3 linked regions of the Kluyveromyces lactis genome follow. The protein of the gene in region 3 purifies or fractionates together with the protein of the main gene of each other region. This does not show direct contact. Links are inferred from orthologs where the notes say so. Each region holds a gene or a part of one and is shown on either strand. Other genes may lie near its edges.

Region 1 (7,156 bases), on a different chromosome or scaffold from region 3:
TGAAAGACATTTACAGAGCTACCCATTCACACTTGACGCATTGTATGGCACAATTGTTGATGCACTGTATAGTGATTTAAAAATTAGTTCGTTCAAACAGTTCTTCCTCTCATGCGATGTAGAAAAGGACAGAAATTTGATAACAACATTGGTTGAAAAGTTATTGAATAAGGCGTTTAGTAATGTTGAGCCAAGGCGGACTTTCAACATTGTTAACAAGATGTCGAATTTTGAAGAAGTGACTTCAGAATTAATGAAATTGCTCAGAGCCATAGACAGGTCTGCGGCATTCAACCGTTCTCGAATTTCGAAGCGGAGAATACAGATGGATTTTTGCATAATTATATTGACTAGGTTAATCATAACTACTCATCCACAAGGGAACTTTGAAGAACTTCTGAGAGTTTTGACCACATTTGCGAAGTCTCCGAACTCTTTCATGGATGTGAAAGACGTGATACCCTTGTTCGAGCAGACCTATTAATATTACTTTATCTATTCAAACTAATCAATAATATGGGTCTCCTTTTCGAATGAGCTCTTAACATGTACAATAGAGTTCATGACATTTTTTACTGCAACGACATGCCACGGAATGAAATTATCTTTTCCATAGGATACTCCGAACCATGGATTCAAACCTGCCAAGTTTCTGTATTGTTTTAAGATTTCCTTCAAAAGTGTTGAACTGTCTGCATGAGGGCAGTTCAAAAGATTTACCTCAAATTTATCAATGAAGTTATCGCCTTCGCTTTTTGCAAAACGAATCAATGCTCCACTTTTGATGGCGCATCTATGCTGGGAGTTTGCTAGCTGCAACGGGTTACTGAATATTAGTCCATGGACTTCCTCATCAATGTTAATTATCTCAAGATCGTCTATACTGTTTGATATTCCTGTCTGCGGATTCGATTTCGTTCTGAACAAGTTTTTAAATGTTGGGTATGTTTTGTCCTCATCGAATAATGTTAATTTCGTGTTATCTCCGACACAGACCACAGCAAGATGGAGATCTTTTGTGGCGACTGATAGACGTCTCCAATGGATCAATTCGTCATCAGGAAGGACACTATCGAGTCTTGTCAACACCAAGCAAACATTTCCAAAATTCTTAGACGCCAATTGTAGGGTTATTTTCCAGATGTCATTGCACACTTGTTCGAAACGAGTTCTGGAGTTACCGACATACCAGGTTTTCACGAAGCTTTCGACGCCTTTGGTGTCTGACCAGGCAGCACACAGCCACTCACGATCAATACTTCTCAAGTATGCCAAATGGATGTAGTTATCGTAATGGATAGATAAGGAGGCATTCTTCAGTGTCCGGAACTCAATTTGTTTGGGTAAATCATTTGTTAGGGACGTTACCTTAGTACTTTTTGGTGGTAGACTATTATAGATTGCCATACACAATGAAGTGTACGCAGTGATAGGTGTAAGTGGATTTTTGAGGAAATCTATATTCACGAGCCTCAACAAAATATCTGCCTTTGGTAACTTAGATTTGAACTCCTTCCTGATTACATGAAACTTGAGGATCATTGATATACATTCTGTTAATGAAAGTTTGTTGATGGGGAGAAAGATGAGTAAAGGAATGTTCTTAATATTTGAGAGTGCTGTTGAACAGAAAGATACAATCTGTGCGGAAAGAAGTAGTAAGGTGTCTTGGTTAAAATTTTTTAAGTATATTAACCCTTTATTATCGTCATTAGTCAACTTAGTCAGTTCACAGAACCCTAACTCATGATTCGAATATGTCTGAGACATTTGTGATACGAAAGACATGCAATCATTTTTTGCCTCAGTGGTTAGCACTAGGGCCCTGAAATTTTTTACCCCACGGTTGGGTTTCAGATTTAAATATTCCGTGAAATAACACGATGAGCTTTTTATTTTAATTGTATCTTCAGATTTCTTCACAAACACTGATGGTTCAGGCAAATAGAAGACTTCCTCTATTATTTCGTTTCCGTGAAGCTTTGAAAAATTCCCAAAAAGCTGGTTCATGGTATCGCTGATGGTGCCAACGGAGCAATCCTTGATCCCTTTAAACTGAGATTCTGTTGCCCTATCATCAGAAAACATATCATTATTGAAGACTATCTGATCTGTCAAAATCTCTAGAATATCCTCGAAGTCTTTTCCGGGCGGCAAAGATGGATTCTGACAAAGGAACACGTCAGGCAACGAGAACAAAGGCATGTGTCTCAAAAGGTAGGGGAGAATTCTAGATGATTCAGATTGTTCTTGCTCTGCGGTTTGAATAGTTTGTTCGCTTTTGGGGTCGATTTCAACCGTGGAAAGAAAGTTAGCTGATGAACTTCTTGGTTTTGAATTATCATATAGAGTATCCGGTCCGAGAGAAGGCGTATTCTCAAAGTAAGTTGTGGGATTTGAGTTTGAGCTGTTATTGCAGTCGTTTATGACCCCATTAATTGTCTGGTTTGGTAGATCAGCTCTTTCTGATTTACTTAAGGCGGGCTTCCATATTGCGTCTAAGTTGGACTTAACAGGTTTTTCCATTAGAGTTCCGATCGTATTATAAGATGCCACAGAATCATCTTTGGAAGAAGATGGTGGGTTTATCAATTCGGGAAGAGAGTCCTTTGCAATAGGTTCGTATGTTGATGACTCGATCATTGGTATATCATTGTCTCTTGGATCATATGATAAGCCCTTTCCTGCAGATGGTCCATTATTGTTGAAATCAGCAGGAGAAAAATCGCTATCATCATCTTCTGAGCTTGATATATTACTTGTACTTATCCCAAATTGTATTGGTTCGTCATTGGTGTTCGAGTTAACAGAAAACTTACCTCCATTCTTGTACTTGTTATCCACATTACTTTCAAAGATGGGGTTGAAATTGAGTGGTGCGAATATACTTTTCTTTCTGTCTTTTGGGGTTTCAATAGGCAAAGGTGCTCCTGGATCTTCGTATAATGTAGGTGTCTTTTCTATAGTAATGACATCCACTGGTATGTCCAAATAGGTACGCTTTGTTCTTGTCTTCTTTTCGTCAGTATCAATAGACTCGATGGTGTCGGGACGATCAAACTTTAACGAGTTACTAGTTGATCCGTCAGCCTCATCGTCATCTTCGGCTAGATCAAACATTTCGTCAGTAATCTCTTTTACAGATACCAGTTCTTCGTTCTTATTTCGCGTACTGACATCTTCGTCGCTATCTTCACCAAAAAGATCTTTGTCGAATTCTACATGCTCGTGTTCCTCTATCGAAATATTCTGAGCGGGAGATTCAAAAGCGGTTTCCAGTTCTACTTTACGCTCAGAACTACCTACTGATGCGTCCTTTGAGTTGATATTGGATGTACTATTTATTACATCCTTTTTCTCATTCCAAAGATCGTTCTGAGGTTTTACGGAAGGAGTTTCTGTTATAATATCATCAACGGTTGGAGTGATATTCTCATTTATTATTGGAGTTGTAATGAAACCATTACTGCTGTAACTCTCTGTGGGGAAATTCTGTCTACTAGTTTTATTATCTCGCAGAGGTGTTACGTTTGGATCATTAGAGTATTCCGGAGAAAACTTACCATTCTCTCCCGTTGAAGATACGTTATTGCTGTTATTGGCCGAATGCTTATTAAACCCTTGAAACTGATCAGTAAATATTCCTCCCGTACTTAATGGGTTATGTCCGGTTACAGTTCCCATCCCTGCAGATGTTCCAGGCGTTCTGTAGGCCGAAGTGAGTTTTAACTGTATAAATCCATCTATCATATCGAAACAATCATCTAACTCAAGCTGCGGGGATCTTGAAAATGCAGTATATTGAGGAGTTTGAACGTCAGATGCTGTTTGTACAAAACAGAGACATGCCGGCCAGATAACGAAATTATTTCCTTTTGGTTCGTCAAGATAATGTGATATTGTTGGAGTGAAGCCATTCAAATGGTTAGCATTTGGAATAAGCTTTACCCATTTCAAACCGTCGACATCGATTAAATTTATTCCATGGGAGACAAATAGTGTCTTGAGAAACATTTGAGCGTTTTTGGGTGGTGATACATAACATTTCTTTAAATCTGTGGATGGTAAATACACTCTGATCCCAGATGGAGCCAAATACACAGCCACTTCATGTTTGAGGCTCTCTGCATTCAACTTCGATAAACCCAAATCCTTGGAACAAATTGCAACAGTCAAATCTCCATTTTCAAATAGATGTGGATCAAAGTGTAAGATTTTGGTCGAAAAGGTATATGATTCCTGAAATATGCATGAGTTTCCAAAGGGCACGATGGTTTCATTGGAGGATAGGGTCAAATTGACATATATCATACGCCTGAGAGCCTTCATAAAGATGGCATATGGGGTAGGCAAGTGAGGTTTTGAGAATTCTGGGGTGAAGTGACCCTTCCGCTCTGGCTGGGGTGACTCCGATTCGTTATTCAGCTCAAGGTTTAACTCTGGTAATGGATCATCGTTAATACTAAAACACCATAACTCCCTGGAAAAAAGAGCTGCAAGTACTTTGGGGTTTTTCCTCCTTAGGAACAACTCTGCTTGAATTGACCATTGATTATCTGCCTTGCTAGGTACATATTGGTGATAGTTTATTTGTTTGACAGTTTCTAACCTGTATAAATTGGTAACGATGTCCTCCAATCGACATGCGTCCCCAACCTCCTTTTTCATGGTTTCCGTTGCTCTGATGAAAAGTAAGCTGGATAGTCAGACTGATTAGGATGCAACGGTACTTCAAAAATCCGTACTTGTTAAGAGATGCTGTCTAGTTACCTTCTTTTAAAATTATACGATTTTATCTCGAGTTATCACTACTTATAATAATGAATCGCTTGATCATTATAAAACAAAAACAAAAAAGATTGCCAATACAAAACAATGAATGACAGGTACCAAAGCATAAAGCTAAACGCACCCCCCGTGATTAGCGGCGCACTCTCAATTGGAAACGCAGTATAACCTGTACTTCTGCTAACAGTGGTTGGCGTATGCCAAGATGGCAATAAAACTGACTGAAGAGAACGACACTGAGTCATCAGATAGTGGTATTCTGCTTTTAAGGGAAACAGGGTCACTTGGTATCGGGGATGTCAATCGCTATAAGATAATTGTAGATAAAAATAAGCTACTATCTGACGGAATTGAGTGTACTGACGATACTCTCTATCTCGAATTCAAAAACCAGGAGAGCGCGCTTTTGAGGCCGTTATGGATAACTGGACCATACTCAATTTATGTTGAAATAACGCCGAACAATTATGACGAGAGAAAGCAATTCATAGGAGATGGAATTGAGTTCATGAGTGACCTCAAGCCTGATGAGAATTTCAAAGCGAAACTTTATCTCAATTCTAATGCTCGAGTTGACGGTACTTCTTGTTATGCTTGGAAGATTGACCTTATTGCCCAGTTCACTGTCGTTACCATTGTAAGGCTTCCATTCGTCTTCACGCTAGCTACAACATACAAAACTGCTAAACATTCCCAGAAAGACAAGAATATAGAAGTTCAGCAGACTGATGGGTTGAAAATTTCCAAACTTGACACTGAACAGTTGTGGAATTTACCTCCGCCATTTCCAGATAAGCCAGTTCATCTCGTAATTATTACACATGGCATCTTCTCTTCTATTGGCGGAGATATGCTTTGCTTAAAAGACACCATTGAACGAGCGTCGAACTTTTTGCCAGATGATAATAATGGCAATCTTGTAATAAGAGGGTATCCTGGAAACGTCGGGAAGTCTCATAAAGGTATACGGCATCTAGGATTCAAGTTGGCAGAATATATAATCGATACCATCGATAAACTTCAACAGCAATTCACCTTAACAAGAATCTCATTTGTAGGTCACTCTTTGGGAGGACCCGTGCAAGCTATGGCCATTCACTATATCTCTGTCGAACGACCAGACATATTTGACAAGACCACAGGCTTGACACCCGTCAATTTTGTGGCGGCGGCGAGCCCATTCCTCGGAGTCATTGGAGATTTGCCCAAATACATATCTATCGTGCTGGACATTGGCGCTTTGGGACAGACTGGAAGGGATCTCACATTGAAGCGCAGCTATTTTCTGCCATCAAAAGGTATTGTAAATAATGATGGATCACATGATAGAATCAAATCTAAACCCATATTAGAGCTTTTACCTAAACATCCGGCGTTAGAAGTTTTCCAACGATTCAAGTGTAGAACCGTGTATGCTAATGTCGCATTTGATGGTATAGTGCCTCTAAGGACGGCTGCTTTACTATATCTTGATTGGAGAGGTTTAAGTGATGTGCAACAGGTGAGGAGCGAAAACAATGCCCAATCTGAGGAGGGAGTTGAAGAACAGAAAGGGTCATCTTTGGGGGAAATTCCAGAGAGCTCTTCGGACAATAAGTCTATTCTCCAATGGTTGCTGCCCCAGTCACTCATTAAAAAGGAAAAATATAAACCGTATGTGCGGACTCAAACTACCAGTTCGGTAGAATCTGCCAGTAGTGATTCGAACAATAATTCTGACTCTCCAACTACTTTCAAACCTCCAAAAAAGGCAAATACATTGCAAGCTGCTGCAAGTACAATATCGGCACCGCTGCCAGGAATGTCGTACCTAGTGGATCCCTCCAGTAGAACGGACAGAATTATTCATGACAAGGTTTATACCCCGGAAGAATTACCAGATAAACACTACAAACATAAGAAGCTTGTGAAAAAGATAATATATCCCAATTACTCGATCCATATGAAAGAAGAACGAATAGCAAGGTACTGGCAGGAGACAATGGACTGGAGAAAGGTCATCGTTGAGCTACAGCCTGATTCCCATAATAACATCATTGTTCGTCGCAGGTTTGTTAATTCATTCGGTTGGATAGTTGTCAATCATATTGCCGATGAACACTTTGGATCGAAGGCAATGATAGAATGAATGATGACTATAGTAATAATAATATCATTAAAAGTTCAACTGTATATAAATAAAATAAATTAGTAGTCTATAGATCGCGTTCTCAGAGGATACGAGGCTTCACACCTCTGGTATCTTTTCCTTTTTGTGGTTGGTGGTTTCATTCGTTACTAGGATCTAAGGGATCGATCTTGAGTACTTTATCTGGATTCAACAGTCTCTTTGGATCTATAGCTAACTTTACTTTCCGCATTAGATCGA
Region 2 (7,132 bases), on a different chromosome or scaffold from region 3:
ACAATGACCTTCTTTTTGCTAAAGTGAACTTCCAAATGTTTATAGTTTTGATTAAGATTGAAATGAAAAATGGATCAAATGACGATGAGCTGGATCTCAGGTTAACTATAGAAAAGTTGGTCTCAGATTACGTACCAAATGCCGAGACCACAATAGAAATAGAGAGGATGTGAATGTTATCAAAGTATTTAATGGGAAATCTTGGCCCAGTTGAAAAGTAAATATATATGTGACTTATTCATATATCTAAGAGGGATTAGTCTTTTCCAACCTTGCATCGAATAAACCTAAGCTCAAACTGGTATTATTCAATTCGCCTTCCAGTGGCTCTTGATAGTTAACCAAATATTGGAAAGGTTCAATCTTGAAGATACAATCGAACTGAGATGACTTCTTATTGAAGACGAAGTATTTTAAAGCTGAGTTCGTTTTGGCCTGTTTATCACATATACCTAAACGAATTAGACTTGGCTCGTCTTTATCAAGGAATTCATCTTCAGTACCTTCAGAATCTAAGAAAGACGAAATCGCGAATTTCGGCAATTGATTCAAAACGCTTGGCATTTTTATTGAGTGCAGAGCCTGATCCTTTGTTTCGTTTAAAATATAAGACTTTAGAGAAGTTAGGAGATCATAAAGTAGTAGCTTCAACTTCAAGTCTTTACCGGTGTTATGGAACAAAGTATAGAAATTGTCAACCATATAGTGATCACGGAGCTCAATTGATTCAAAACAATGTCTCAATATGAACTTCTCATGAATGATAACGATCTTTAATAGCTCGTTCAAGTTTTCGTCGTATTTCTTTAATGTATCGTTAGGCATTTTTGCAAATGTAGCAATAGTATTTTTGAACAGTTCCAAAACCTCTGAATCCATCCCCAGGCTTGACATATTTACCAGATGCCTGCTTAGTACAATTTCTGTATCCATCATTATATGCAAGAAGACTAACGCAGATTTTTCTGTCTCCAAAACTCTTGCTAAAAATTGTCTTTCAATAACTGTCAAAAGGGTCGACACTTGTTTTTTGTCTGAGATATTACTGAATATTTTTGGTAATAATGAGTTGTAACCAATTGCGCCGACGATGCTGGAGAAAAAGTCCGATAGATCTTCAGCATTAGAGTTTTTTACATTGAATTCGGTGAGTATCTGGAACAACCAAGTATTGGTGAAGTTCAAATACCGATATAGATCAATGGTGTTGTCTATTGCTTCATTTTCGATATTCATTCCATATATCAACATATCTCTAATGATAGACATGTTTTTCTCTTCTCTTAAAATGTGGCTGACAACTTGAGCAGATTTTTCACTCAAATTTGAATTTGGACCATATTCCACTAGCATTCTCACTAAAGTGTCCCTGAATGTAGGTCGACTGAAAAGTTGAAGAGTGATTTGTTTGAAATTCCTCTTGACAAAGGCATTCTTTTCATTTTCGAAATTTAGACCATAATTAAAGCTTACTTGTGACACTAATTCACATAATAAATCAAAATGTGATGTCTTCTGAATTACCTCAAAACTTAGTAATTTTAATGAAATAAGTTTTAATAATTCATGAACAGTGAAGTCTCCTCTTTTCACAAAAATTGACAAAAACTTATTATACTCTGAGGCGTGTGAGGCCTTGCATAGTAACAAGAGTTTTCTACAATTGGATTCATCTTCGGGATTATGAAGAACCTTTTTAATATTTTGCTGGATCACACTAGGAAAGTTCTGCTCTTCAAACTTCGTATTCTTATTACCGGTTATTTCCAGGTATAACGACACCGTTTCGTTTGGCATTTTAGTAAAGTGATCTTTCCGGTGTCTCTCTAACTCGAAAACTTCAGCAATTTGATTCTGCAACGACGAGTCCATTTCAATCATGTTTGCACAATTCTTAACGAAAAACTTCCAAAAACTCTTAAAATTTATCAATTCAAAAGCTGCTTTGTCTTTTATCCGTAGATCCCTCATATAACTGTGTAATAATGTCTTCATAAATAAAATATGATCATTGATAAGTAAAAGAAAAGCTTTGTCCAAATAAAGCAAAATGTCAGTGAATACTTCTAAGTTTTCAAGGTCATCAATTAATTGATGATAAACAATATACTCAGCCCACCCAAAAAAGTGATGTAACTCTCCTAGATTGATACAAAAAAGTTGGAATGTTTTGATGATCTTATGATTATTGACCTTCTGAAGTTCCCCTTGATTAAAACAGATTTGAGATAAATACCATTCGGAGCACATAATCCGTATGCTTCCTGGATACTCCTCAAGCCTTTCAAAATCACCACTAAGAAGTTTAGGTTTAAGGCTTTCAAAGATCGACACTAACTTGTCAAAATTGTACTTCTCATAAAAGTGAGGAGCGTACTCCATAACATTCTTTAACACCATGTTATATTGCGACTTCATAATAGGTGATATCTTTAAATTGATAAGGAGTTTACAGTGGAAATTTTTATTCTCGGATTCTGGCAAATAGAGTACACCAGAACTTATCAAACGTCTGATGTATGTTGGGACTTTAATTATTCCATAACCAATAAAGACATTCAAAAGTTGATGCAACTTCGGAAGCCATACGATTTTCTGCAATTCTAACTTTGATAATTTAGAAAAATGGAAAATAAGACTCCATATAACATCCTCAATGCTGTATTCTTGGAATGATTCTTGAGAATTGATTTTTAAAACTAATATTTTCGCAACTAAATGACAACTGTCATATCGATGCTTACGTGAAGGATTGATTGCCCATAGAATAATTTCAATGACCTGTTCCATTTTCGTAATTTTTTGGTCAATAAATAAGCTCCACTCTGAGCCTGAAAGGCCACTATCTAATACACCGAGTAATTCTGGGCTCACATTCTTGAGATTCAAAATATTTCCTGAGAAAACATTGTCTAAGGTAAGTTCAGTGCTGAAAGGAGAGGTTTCTCGAGAAGGTTCCACATCAAGGGATCCCAACCGTAACGATTCATTCCTATATGATATCAATTTCAATTTCTTTTTTAACTTTGGGGTCTCTTCATCAGAGACATTCTGAAGTAATATTTGATACAAGTAATTCTTATAGATGTTCCAATTTTGCTTTGGCATGATGAACGCTTCTAAGGATTGAGTATGGAAAATATGGGAAATAAACTGCCGCAACCGTAATAAAACAGACTCTTTGAGTTTTGAATTTCTCTGGACATCATTTATGATATACTTCGAGTCATTAATCATACACTTGGACTCAGATATGATGTGGTACTTTCGTAATAGAATTTCTGAAAGCTTTATTATCAAAAACGATGATTCTATTTCTGTATCTTCTTCTGTTGTCCCAAGAATTCCACTCCAGAAGATAGAAAGGATATGCAATGTCATAGGATAGAATTCGAAGCTCTCTATTTTACTTAAAAAATCTACCAGCCATTGATGCAAAGTAGATCTGTTTAATAGTTCCATTTCATAACAGTTACCTAGAATCTTCAAATAATGAGCGATGCGTAGCTTCCAATATTTCAACTGCCCCGGATCATTGTAATATTTACTGACTTCAAAAACCAATTTCTCAAGGATAAGGACCATATTATCGGTCCAGTCTTTGTACAAAGTACTAAGAAGCTCTTCATGGGTGGTTTCTCCTTTGGCTTTTGAGATCATTCCTTTCCATTCAATAGCATAGCAACTTTTGATTAGCCATATGACACGATATATTGGAACGAATTGTGTGTAGCATTGTTCCAAAATGTGCCTTTTCCTAAATCCATGAGGAACAGATTTAGTTAATTTCCGCAATGATGTGTTCGATGAGCTTAATTCCTGAAGCCACAGATTCCTCTTTTGATCTGTAAGCGTGACTCTGTTAGGCAAATGAAAATCTTGACCGGACCATTTAGTGAACCTTGTACTGTCTTCTATGTCCAGTGTACTTATCCTATTAATTTCTTGTTCTCGTATCTCAATAATCTTGGATAATTCATCTCCTAACAATGAGGAAACTTTGGGAAGTGATCCTTGTAAAGCTGAACGAGCAGAAATGGTTTCAAAGTTTACCCTAGAAGCAGTATAGTAGCCTTTTGCCACGAACTCTTTAAGTATCTTATCCTCCTCTTTGGTGTGAATCCACGGATCAAAATCAGGATAGATTTGTGGGTTGGAGTCGGTGAGCGGATGTAATTCCTCCGGAGGAGTTAGTAAATATTTTGACGGTGACATCAGAAGTATCTAGCGGTTATTCTCTGACTACTTATATGTGTTAACAAGCACTAGTTAAGACAGTTTAACCTGCCTAAGGTACTTTGAAGGTTTATAGTGTTTCAGTGATTCTGAACGATCAATCACATATCAATTTAAGGTAAAGAAAGTTCTAAAGTGGAGGAAAAACACTGCTCGAACAATAAATAACATGTCACATGATCAACTCATCAGAAGAGGCAAAATAGATAGTAAGTATAAGATCATTAGTGCCTTCTCAAATATCACTTAGACGAGCCCCAAGAATGGGGTACAGTTACTATGATCTTTTTACTTATTTAGTGATAATATGCTATTTACTGTCTGCTTCTTTGCTGGTTTGGAGTTGTTTGATACAACCCTTGTACGTATCCTTCAAAGTGTCTTCAATAGAGAATAATTCAGACAACTTTTCTTCGTCAAGGTAAGCAGATGGTTGATAACCATCAATGTCACGACTGAGGTCAGTGTCAATATGTTGTGACCAGAATTTCTGTTCACCCTTACCAACTAGAAGGTTAATTGCTATACCCTCAGTATTAGCCCTTGCAGTTCTACCACAACGATGAACATATTGTTGAGAGGAGATCGGTAGATCATAGTTTATCACATGAGTAATTTCATTTATATCGATACCTCTAGCCATTATGTCCGTTGAAATTAAAACTGATTTCTTTTGTTCTGAGGATGCAAATTCCTGTATTAGTTTTCTGCTACTACCCTTCGAGATGTTCGAATGAATTGATGAAAGGAACATATTATACTCATCTTCAATTATTCCTGATCCTAACATGGCATGTAATAAGCTTTCTAATCTGATCGAAGCTTCGTTACTCTTCACAAACACTAATATTTTAGCGTTTCTCGAAGCACTGCTCTTGATGTCGTGTATTATTCTTAGTAAGAGTAGTGGCTTGAACAGACTCTTAGCAGTAGGAATATTGACATTGAGTTCTTGCAATTTCTTAGGTATTGAATATAATTTAACAGAATCTGTGAGGAAGATCTTGGGGTTGTGGAGATACAAATTGTACAACTTTTCTGCATTCGTAGTCAAAGTAGCAGAAAAGACCATTTTGATTACGTTTCCTGGACGTTTATCCTGCTTATCGTTTGTCAAATGGTGGAAAAGCACTTGGTTCCAATTTTGGAATGACTGATTTAATAGTCGGTCTGCTTCATCAAGGACTAAGAACTTCAAAGTTTTTAGGTCAAATGATTCCATCTGCAAGTGATCGACCAGTCTGCCCGGAGTGATGATTAGAATGTCTGGAGAGTTATACAAAAATTTGTTGTGTTCTTCTTTCAAGGAGTTCTCGAGTTTCGACATTGATACATTGAGACTGGTCCCTTGACTTAGTTTAGAGAGACAATCGTAGACTTGATGAATTAAAATTTTAGTAGGAACCAAAATTATTGCCCTAACTTTATTCACTGTTCTAGATCTCAAAATTTGAACCAAAGGGACAGAATATGCTAAGGTCTTACCGGAACCAGTTGATGCGTTTACTAATATATCACCAACTCGTCTTGTGAAAAGTTTTCTGTTTGCTTTAAAAGATGAGTTTAGAAGCGGGAGCACTTTATCGAATAGAATGGTCTGAATAGGGAACGTTTCAGATGAGAAATTGGAGGTAATATTTTTAAGCAGACGTGCATCTAATTCACCTTCGTAGCTATCGAATTGTTTAACCATTTTACTATCGTAATGAATTTTGGTTGCTGCATCCCACGCAGTGGATTTATATGTAGACGGATCTAGAAGCTTCAAGGCTTCATTGGTCACTTTGGCCGGTTGAGGAATTGGGGTAAGACTGTGAACATCTTTCATGGATACGTCCTCATCGTGTACATCGTTGTCACTACTGACCTTGTCTGAAGCGCTCAACGCACCTTGCAGGGAAAGAGTCTGTTGAAATCTATTTAATACGGAACTGTGCTTTGCATCAACTGATTGCTGAGAAGTTTCTGTAGGCGCAACAGATGCAACCTTGTTTTCATCTTGCTCACTAATTGTATCGGAATCATCCTCACTGCTGGAAGCATCATCCTCACTGCTGGAAGCATCGTCCTCACCAGAGCCTTCATCATCAGTTTCCGCATCTCTTTTCCTCTTTTGGGGCACAGTGGGTTCTTTTATTTGTGTGACTTCAGCTGTTAGTACATTTTCAGTCACCTTAGTAGGATCAAACCTTGCAGCAAACATGTTATTGACTGGATGCTATCGTTATGCTGTCGCTATGCTGTTACTGACCTTCTAAATTCCTGAAGCTCATCGCATCATATTACATCTCATCGCCATTCGTCTATTATTTTATTTCAGAACGGAATTCATAAAAAATTTCAATCTGTAAAACTTGAAATAACGACAAGATATAATAGAGTTAAGTCACTACCATGATATCAGTCAGCCAAAGGTTCCAGCAGTTAGACAAATATCTCGCGTCTACGATAACACTCATAACGTCATAAAATGTTCCCGTCATTGAGATTACTATCACGTTCTGTATGGAAAGGTCCAAATATAGTCCCATTACCAATAAAAGAAGCATTGGCCAAAGGTACGCCCATTAGAACAAATGCCAGATCTGCCACCATATTACCTCAATTTGTCGGACTGAAATTCCAAGTGCATAATGGTAAGGAGTATGTCGCGTTTGAAGTGACAGAAGATATGGTAGGAAGTAAGCTAGGAGAATTCGTACCAACAAGAAAGAGATTCAGTTATACTCAAACTAAGAACAAATGATTTGACATTTATGAAAAGCACAAAGTTAGTCAGACAGCAGCATGTATATAAAATCACACCTGGAAGTTCATGTACCACCGTGTACTCCATACGTAACTGTATCTATTACTAAGAAATGATTTATTGAACAAGTGCTCTCGATTAATTGGG
Region 3 (5,408 bases):
AAACCGAAATTTGGATTGTGAGAACCTTCGTTCACTCTTGCATTTTCTTTGCAATAGTGGTCGAATTCGCTTCTGCTGAATTGAACAAACTGCGAATGATACTGTTGTAATCTTTTTGCGAAATCTTTCACAGCAAATTCGTAAGGCTTATCGTAATAATCCTGATTAAAAGTCTTATTGTGTATGTTGTATTTGATGAAGTTGGGATCAGTGCAGGAGACTTGCAAAAAGATAGGTGTTATATGAATCGCATCAGCACGATCGTCGGCCTCATCTTCATATTCATCTTCATCTATATCATCCCCACGTGCGCGGTTCTTATTGTTGCTTCTTCTTGCATTATGTTTATCGTATTGGGCCTTATTGAAGGATCTAATCTCCTGCAACACGTAATTTCTTCTTTGCAAAGTCGAGTTGGTGGCGTCGAATATAGCCAAATCACATCTATCTTGTTTCAAATCATTCAAAAGCTTAGAAAGGGCTATTCTTGCATATTCCTCTTTCTTATGCGAGTTCTTTGGATTGAAAACGTCCTCCTCCGACTTGTTCAACTCAGGCGCCATGAACGGCGAGACCTGACGGCGGGTGCTCAACTTACGTCTCACGTTACCGGCATTGAAGATAGAGCATCGAAGATGCGCTGTACTACGAGACGAGTGAAGGAAATTGATCAAATGTCTGGATATGGTAGACTTTCCAGTGGCTGGTAAACCGATGAGAATCACGCAAAATTTATGGTTTAAATTCTGCCTCTTGTTCCCAAACTGTATAGTCAACGAACTTCCCTGAGACAAATAAGAATTGTTAGCAGCATGGTTCGCCGACGATGAGCCTTGTAATCCGGCAAAGTACCCATCTGTATGGTTACTCACATCTATCTCTGTTTCTGTATGTGAAATCGTCGGATAAATTGACGATGAGCTTGAGCCATGTAGTGAAAATAAAGAATTCGTGGAAGTATTGGTAGAAACCGTCCTCGAGTTCAAGTGTTTCCTCGACTCTAGACTTCTTAATAACTCGGGCCTTAGATTTTCGTTGGGTCGCGACATCCTTGATTGGTGTGTATGTCTCGTCGAATTGTGCTTGCGAGCTTGCTGTTTGCTTCTGTGCTTCTTCACCTTTCAACTTTTAACGGGTTAATTCTTTACGTGGTCGATCTGAAAAACACTAGAGCTTAAATGTGTATCGAAAACTGGCATAAGTTGATCCGAAACACTCTCAAAAGAAAAGATTCAACAGATATTCTTGAAATCGAAAAGAAAGAAGAAAAAAAAAAGAAGCGAAGATAGCGTAGATTGCAGAGCGAAATGCTAGAGACAGAAAGGGTAGAGAAAACGATAGTATACCCGAATTGTGACGACACGTTGTCAGGTTATGTTTGTCCCTTTGGTTACAAGTAGGAAAGATGCCCCCAGGTAACAGTTCAGTGTGTCAACCCTTGGTTTGTCCCTCACTATATATATTATATAGGTGTAAACTATTCACGCATTGCTATACTAGCCCAAGTCAGGCACCACGCGGTGCGCTCTCCTCCATTACAGGAATTATAGCTTACTTTGGCAATTCAATTCCTGTTAGGCTTTAAAAAAGAGAGCATGTTGCCGAAAAGAAGGCTGACATATTGACAATAAAATGGATCAGTCCTGGGATCTGTCACGTTTATTACGGTAAACTAACCCAGCTGCCCGTTACAGCTCCGATTTAATCGGTGTAACGGTTTCCTCTCGAGGAAACCGGTGTGAGAGAGGTACTGACGACAGTTTCGCGCGCTATTCTGTTGTGTGTCTTTCGGATAATCTGCCTGGCGGTTTTTTCTATTTGCCCTCTGCCCGCCGTTCCCCTCTTCTGTCTCTCTTTGGTCTCTTTTTCATGCCTGGTCATTTGTTCTCCTCTTTGCCCGTTTAGGCCCTACACTCTCTGCACGAGTTATTCCGATCGCTAATTCTTTTTTTGGGTCTTTTTTATAATGCGTAGTGTGGTGTAAGGGAATTGTAGGATTTCTTCCTGTGGAATTAGTTTCTCCGATCCGCCATACCTGAAATCGAAGAGAAATCGGCAATTCTACCCCATTCTGGGAAGACAAAAGAAAAAGGACTTCGCGAGTCATGTAGAGCACGTGACTTGTATTTTAAACTTACTAGGTCTTCGTTACATAATCAGCGTCAGAGAGTTGGTATTAGGACTTTTAGAAATAATGAGCATTAGCTTCGTCCGACATCTTGCTATTAAATTTGTCTTCCCCCTTTGCTTGCATTGGGAGAAAGTTTGCTGATTTTCTTATTCTGTATACCTTATTCGGCGGCTAAATTTCGAATTAAATCTCTCAAGCAGCCGAACTTATGAAAGTTTAATTAAACATCTTGATACCAAAGTCTTCGTTTTTAGAGATCGCCTTAACAACTGGTATGCTGGGATATATATCACAGTTGAGCCAGCTTGGATTCCACTTCATCACAGACTTTATTGATGTGTTCCATTTCCTTGCGTTTATGTTCCAATTGTTCTTCAAATAACATGATTAGCGATTCACGACTTTGGTGCGGTCTATATTCGTTAAGAAGATGGTGAATATTGATGGCTATCACCCTTATCTCGTCAAGTTTTTTCTCATATCTACTTGAATCCACTCCCAATATTCCTATAAGCTCTAGGAAATTTAGTAATAGTGATTTCATTAGTTTTTTCGACTCTTGGATCTTGTTCTCGTAATTTGTCCCACTTTGCGAATCTTGAGGACTAGGTTCAACTTCTGTTGTGGTCCCGTTTTCCAATTCCGTGACAGATTCCCGTTTCCTATATAATTGTTCAATTCCCATCTGTGATAACTCCGGTAGTTCATCCTTAATTTTCCATACATTACCAAATGCTCTGTATGAACCATCCCTGGGTAGTTCTGGCTTCACAAAATATTTCAACTGCTCCCTCTGTTTTGTTGTACATTTCGCTAGTTTTTCTTCATCTTTGCCACATTCTCTAAATAGTTTTGAGTTCTCTTCGGTGAAAAATTGAATGAACGGTGGTGGTGGAGGATACAATGATGATACTTCGTTCTTGTCACTCATGGTCCTTTATATTTTAGCTTCTGACTGGCAGTATTGTCTCTCACTTTCACAATCACTTTCAAAAAAATCTTTTATTGAGAGGGATTTCAATACTTTAAAGGACGGTCGAGGTTCCAGTTTATCTTGAATCTGGACAGATTATGGCCACGGAGGTCTAACACAGGTCTGATATCGCCAACACGCTTTCCTGTGTTCACTGATTTATCACTTGTTTCTGTTTGTGCTGGTTACTATAAGTTGGATTTCCATTTCATGTACAATTTCACATCCGGGTAACAAATGTTTGTATTCACGTGATATGAATATCACTCTTGTCTCTCTTTCAACATGAATTCTAATGTTTCTGAACGTTTGGGCAGTTACGAAAGTCCATAGATCCCATTATAGTCCACAGGGTATATCTTTTGTCATTCATAAGACTACTCTATTCGATCATTAATAGTTTAAAAAAAGGTTTTCACACCCGCGTTTCCAAGGATTGAACGACAGTTAGACCTGGGACTTAGAACGTCTGTTTGTAATCTGTTTTAAAGAAGGAAGGATTTATATTTACCAATAGTAGCTGATCGTTAGGAGATGGCCACGGATTTGGGACCAATAGAGGCACAGAGCGGGACAGAGGGTGCTACTGAGTCAAAGCCCAATTTTGAGATAACGAAATGGACAGCGGTAGCTTTTTGGTCATGGGATATTGACGTTGATAATTGTGCCATTTGCAGAAATCATATTATGGAACCATGTGTAAATTGTCAGCAGGAAGCAACTTTCAACTCGGAGCATGAATGTGTAGCCGCCTGGGGTGAGTGCAACCACGCATTCCACCTACATTGTATTACCCAATGGATCAAGAGCAGAAATGTTTGTCCGTTGGATAATAAACCTTGGAAATTGGCTCGGTGTGGCAAGTGAAGATAGAGTGTTAAGCCTACAAAGATGCATTATCGAAATTTAATATCGCTATTGGACTGTTCGAACCGCAAAAAATGTTACTCAATTTAGATTTCCAATGATTTAATACCAAGCGGATAGTGTGGATTTAATATCTACCATTGGGAAGAAGCTTAGATAATCTGGCTTCTGTGTATATATAGTTACGTAACGAGCTTCTAATGGAATTATCGACAGGTTCGATCGGTCCCAAAACAATAGACAGGACAGCGTTGTTCCATGAATACAACTAGGATGCGTACATTCCTCTTCGATTGCTTCGTTTTTAAGATCAGTATTTGCATTTTGTTTCTAAACATAATGCATATATCATGGGATTTGGTAATACAGTGCGTTTCGGTAGAATTTACCCCAGTGAATCCATTTTGCGCAGTTTTCGTCAAACCTTTTCGCCAGAAGTTCGTAATCAGTACCGTAATTGCCATAAAACTCAATAAAGAAGCAATATTGCCATTTTCTTTCTGATTGCACTTGATTATGGAATGGTCTCGAACTGATTGAGCACATATTCAACTTATACTCCCTCAAGACATTTAATACATCTATTAAGGAACCTGGATCATCTTGATTTATCACGAAGGTGACAAAGTTTACTTTCATTTCATCGCCTTTAGGTGGGAGAGCTTGGCTGCCAATTTCGCTAGATTCGTCACGCCTTTTCAAGATCAAGAACCTTGTCGTATTTCCATTGACATCATTGATACCGCCTTCCACAATCGTAGCTTTATTTAGTGATGCACTCGCACGGCTTCCAATTGCTAGAGTTATTTTTCTATCAGTGGCATATTCAGCTATGCATCTTTCCACAGCCCCCGCAGTCGAACTGCAGTCGATCTTGGCGGTCTTACCGTATTTTGTTTCAAGATCACTGAGATAGTCTTTTACTTGGCCCCAAACTTGTGGATGTGAATATATAACATCAACCTTTCTTAATTGTTCTTCTGAGAGCGGTACTGGTGAAATCAAGCAATGGGCAATGTCGACGTATTGTTCACCAACAACCTCAACACTTGGACTTAAATCTGCTTGCATAAAATCTCTGAAAAGATCGTACGTGAAAACAACTTGACCGTTGGTGGAGTTTTCGAGAGGAACTACCCCGTAGTCCATATCTATGTCTGAAATGAGCTTTTCGAAACATGCAGGGATAGATGTCACCGGTATTAGCTCCTCGTTTGGAAATTGTTGGAGTGCTGCTTGATGTGAATATGTTCCCACAGGGCCCAAGAACAATACTTTCGCCATTATAAATGTAGTAGAAGTAAAACAAGGAGATATTCCAACTTCCAGCAAACAGTGTACAATGTGCAACTACTGTCGGGGCTTTGTACTGTTTGAGCAGAACGAATTCAATCGATTCTACTCATAGGTTGGGTCATCGATGCATCCATATGCTCG

Evidence for each region.
Region 1: the proteins of MED7 (region 3) and SSN2 purify together in Saccharomyces cerevisiae (affinity purification with mass spectrometry; 4 studies listed by BioGRID). This does not show direct contact. The link is inferred for Kluyveromyces lactis from reciprocal best matches to the Saccharomyces cerevisiae genes MED7 and SSN2.
Region 2: the proteins of MED7 (region 3) and SRB8 purify together in Saccharomyces cerevisiae (affinity purification with mass spectrometry; 4 studies listed by BioGRID). This does not show direct contact. The link is inferred for Kluyveromyces lactis from reciprocal best matches to the Saccharomyces cerevisiae genes MED7 and SRB8.

What each region holds. Positions count from the first base shown.
Region 1 is NC_006038.1:105,716-112,871, forward strand, and holds SSN2 (Ssn2p), read right to left. Parts: upstream 4,669-7,156; coding exon 505-4,668; downstream 1-504. Other genes in the region: Smc5-Smc6 complex subunit NSE5, read left to right, coding at 1-484; KLLA0_B01375g (putative hydrolase), read left to right, coding at 4,994-6,916; KLLA0_B01397g (FAD-binding oxidoreductase), read right to left, coding at 7,056-7,156. UniProt on the Saccharomyces cerevisiae protein: Component of the SRB8-11 complex. The SRB8-11 complex is a regulatory module of the Mediator complex which is itself involved in regulation of basal and activated RNA polymerase II-dependent transcription.
Region 2 is NC_006042.1:661,424-668,555, forward strand, and holds SRB8 (Srb8p), read right to left. Parts: upstream 4,216-7,132; coding exon 247-4,215; downstream 1-246. Other genes in the region: Zn(2+) transporter ZRG17, read left to right, coding at 1-173; putative ATP-dependent RNA helicase DBP6, read right to left, coding at 4,547-6,439; RSM19 (mitochondrial 37S ribosomal protein uS19m), read left to right, coding at 6,707-6,982.
Region 3 is NC_006041.1:647,836-653,243, forward strand, and holds MED7 (mediator complex subunit MED7), read right to left. Parts: upstream 3,063-5,408; coding exon 2,421-3,062; downstream 1-2,420. Other genes in the region: PFK27 (6-phosphofructo-2-kinase), read right to left, coding at 1-1,049; SCF ubiquitin ligase complex subunit HRT1, read left to right, coding at 3,639-3,971; prephenate dehydratase PHA2, read right to left, coding at 4,320-5,255. UniProt on the Saccharomyces cerevisiae protein: Component of the Mediator complex, a coactivator involved in the regulated transcription of nearly all RNA polymerase II-dependent genes.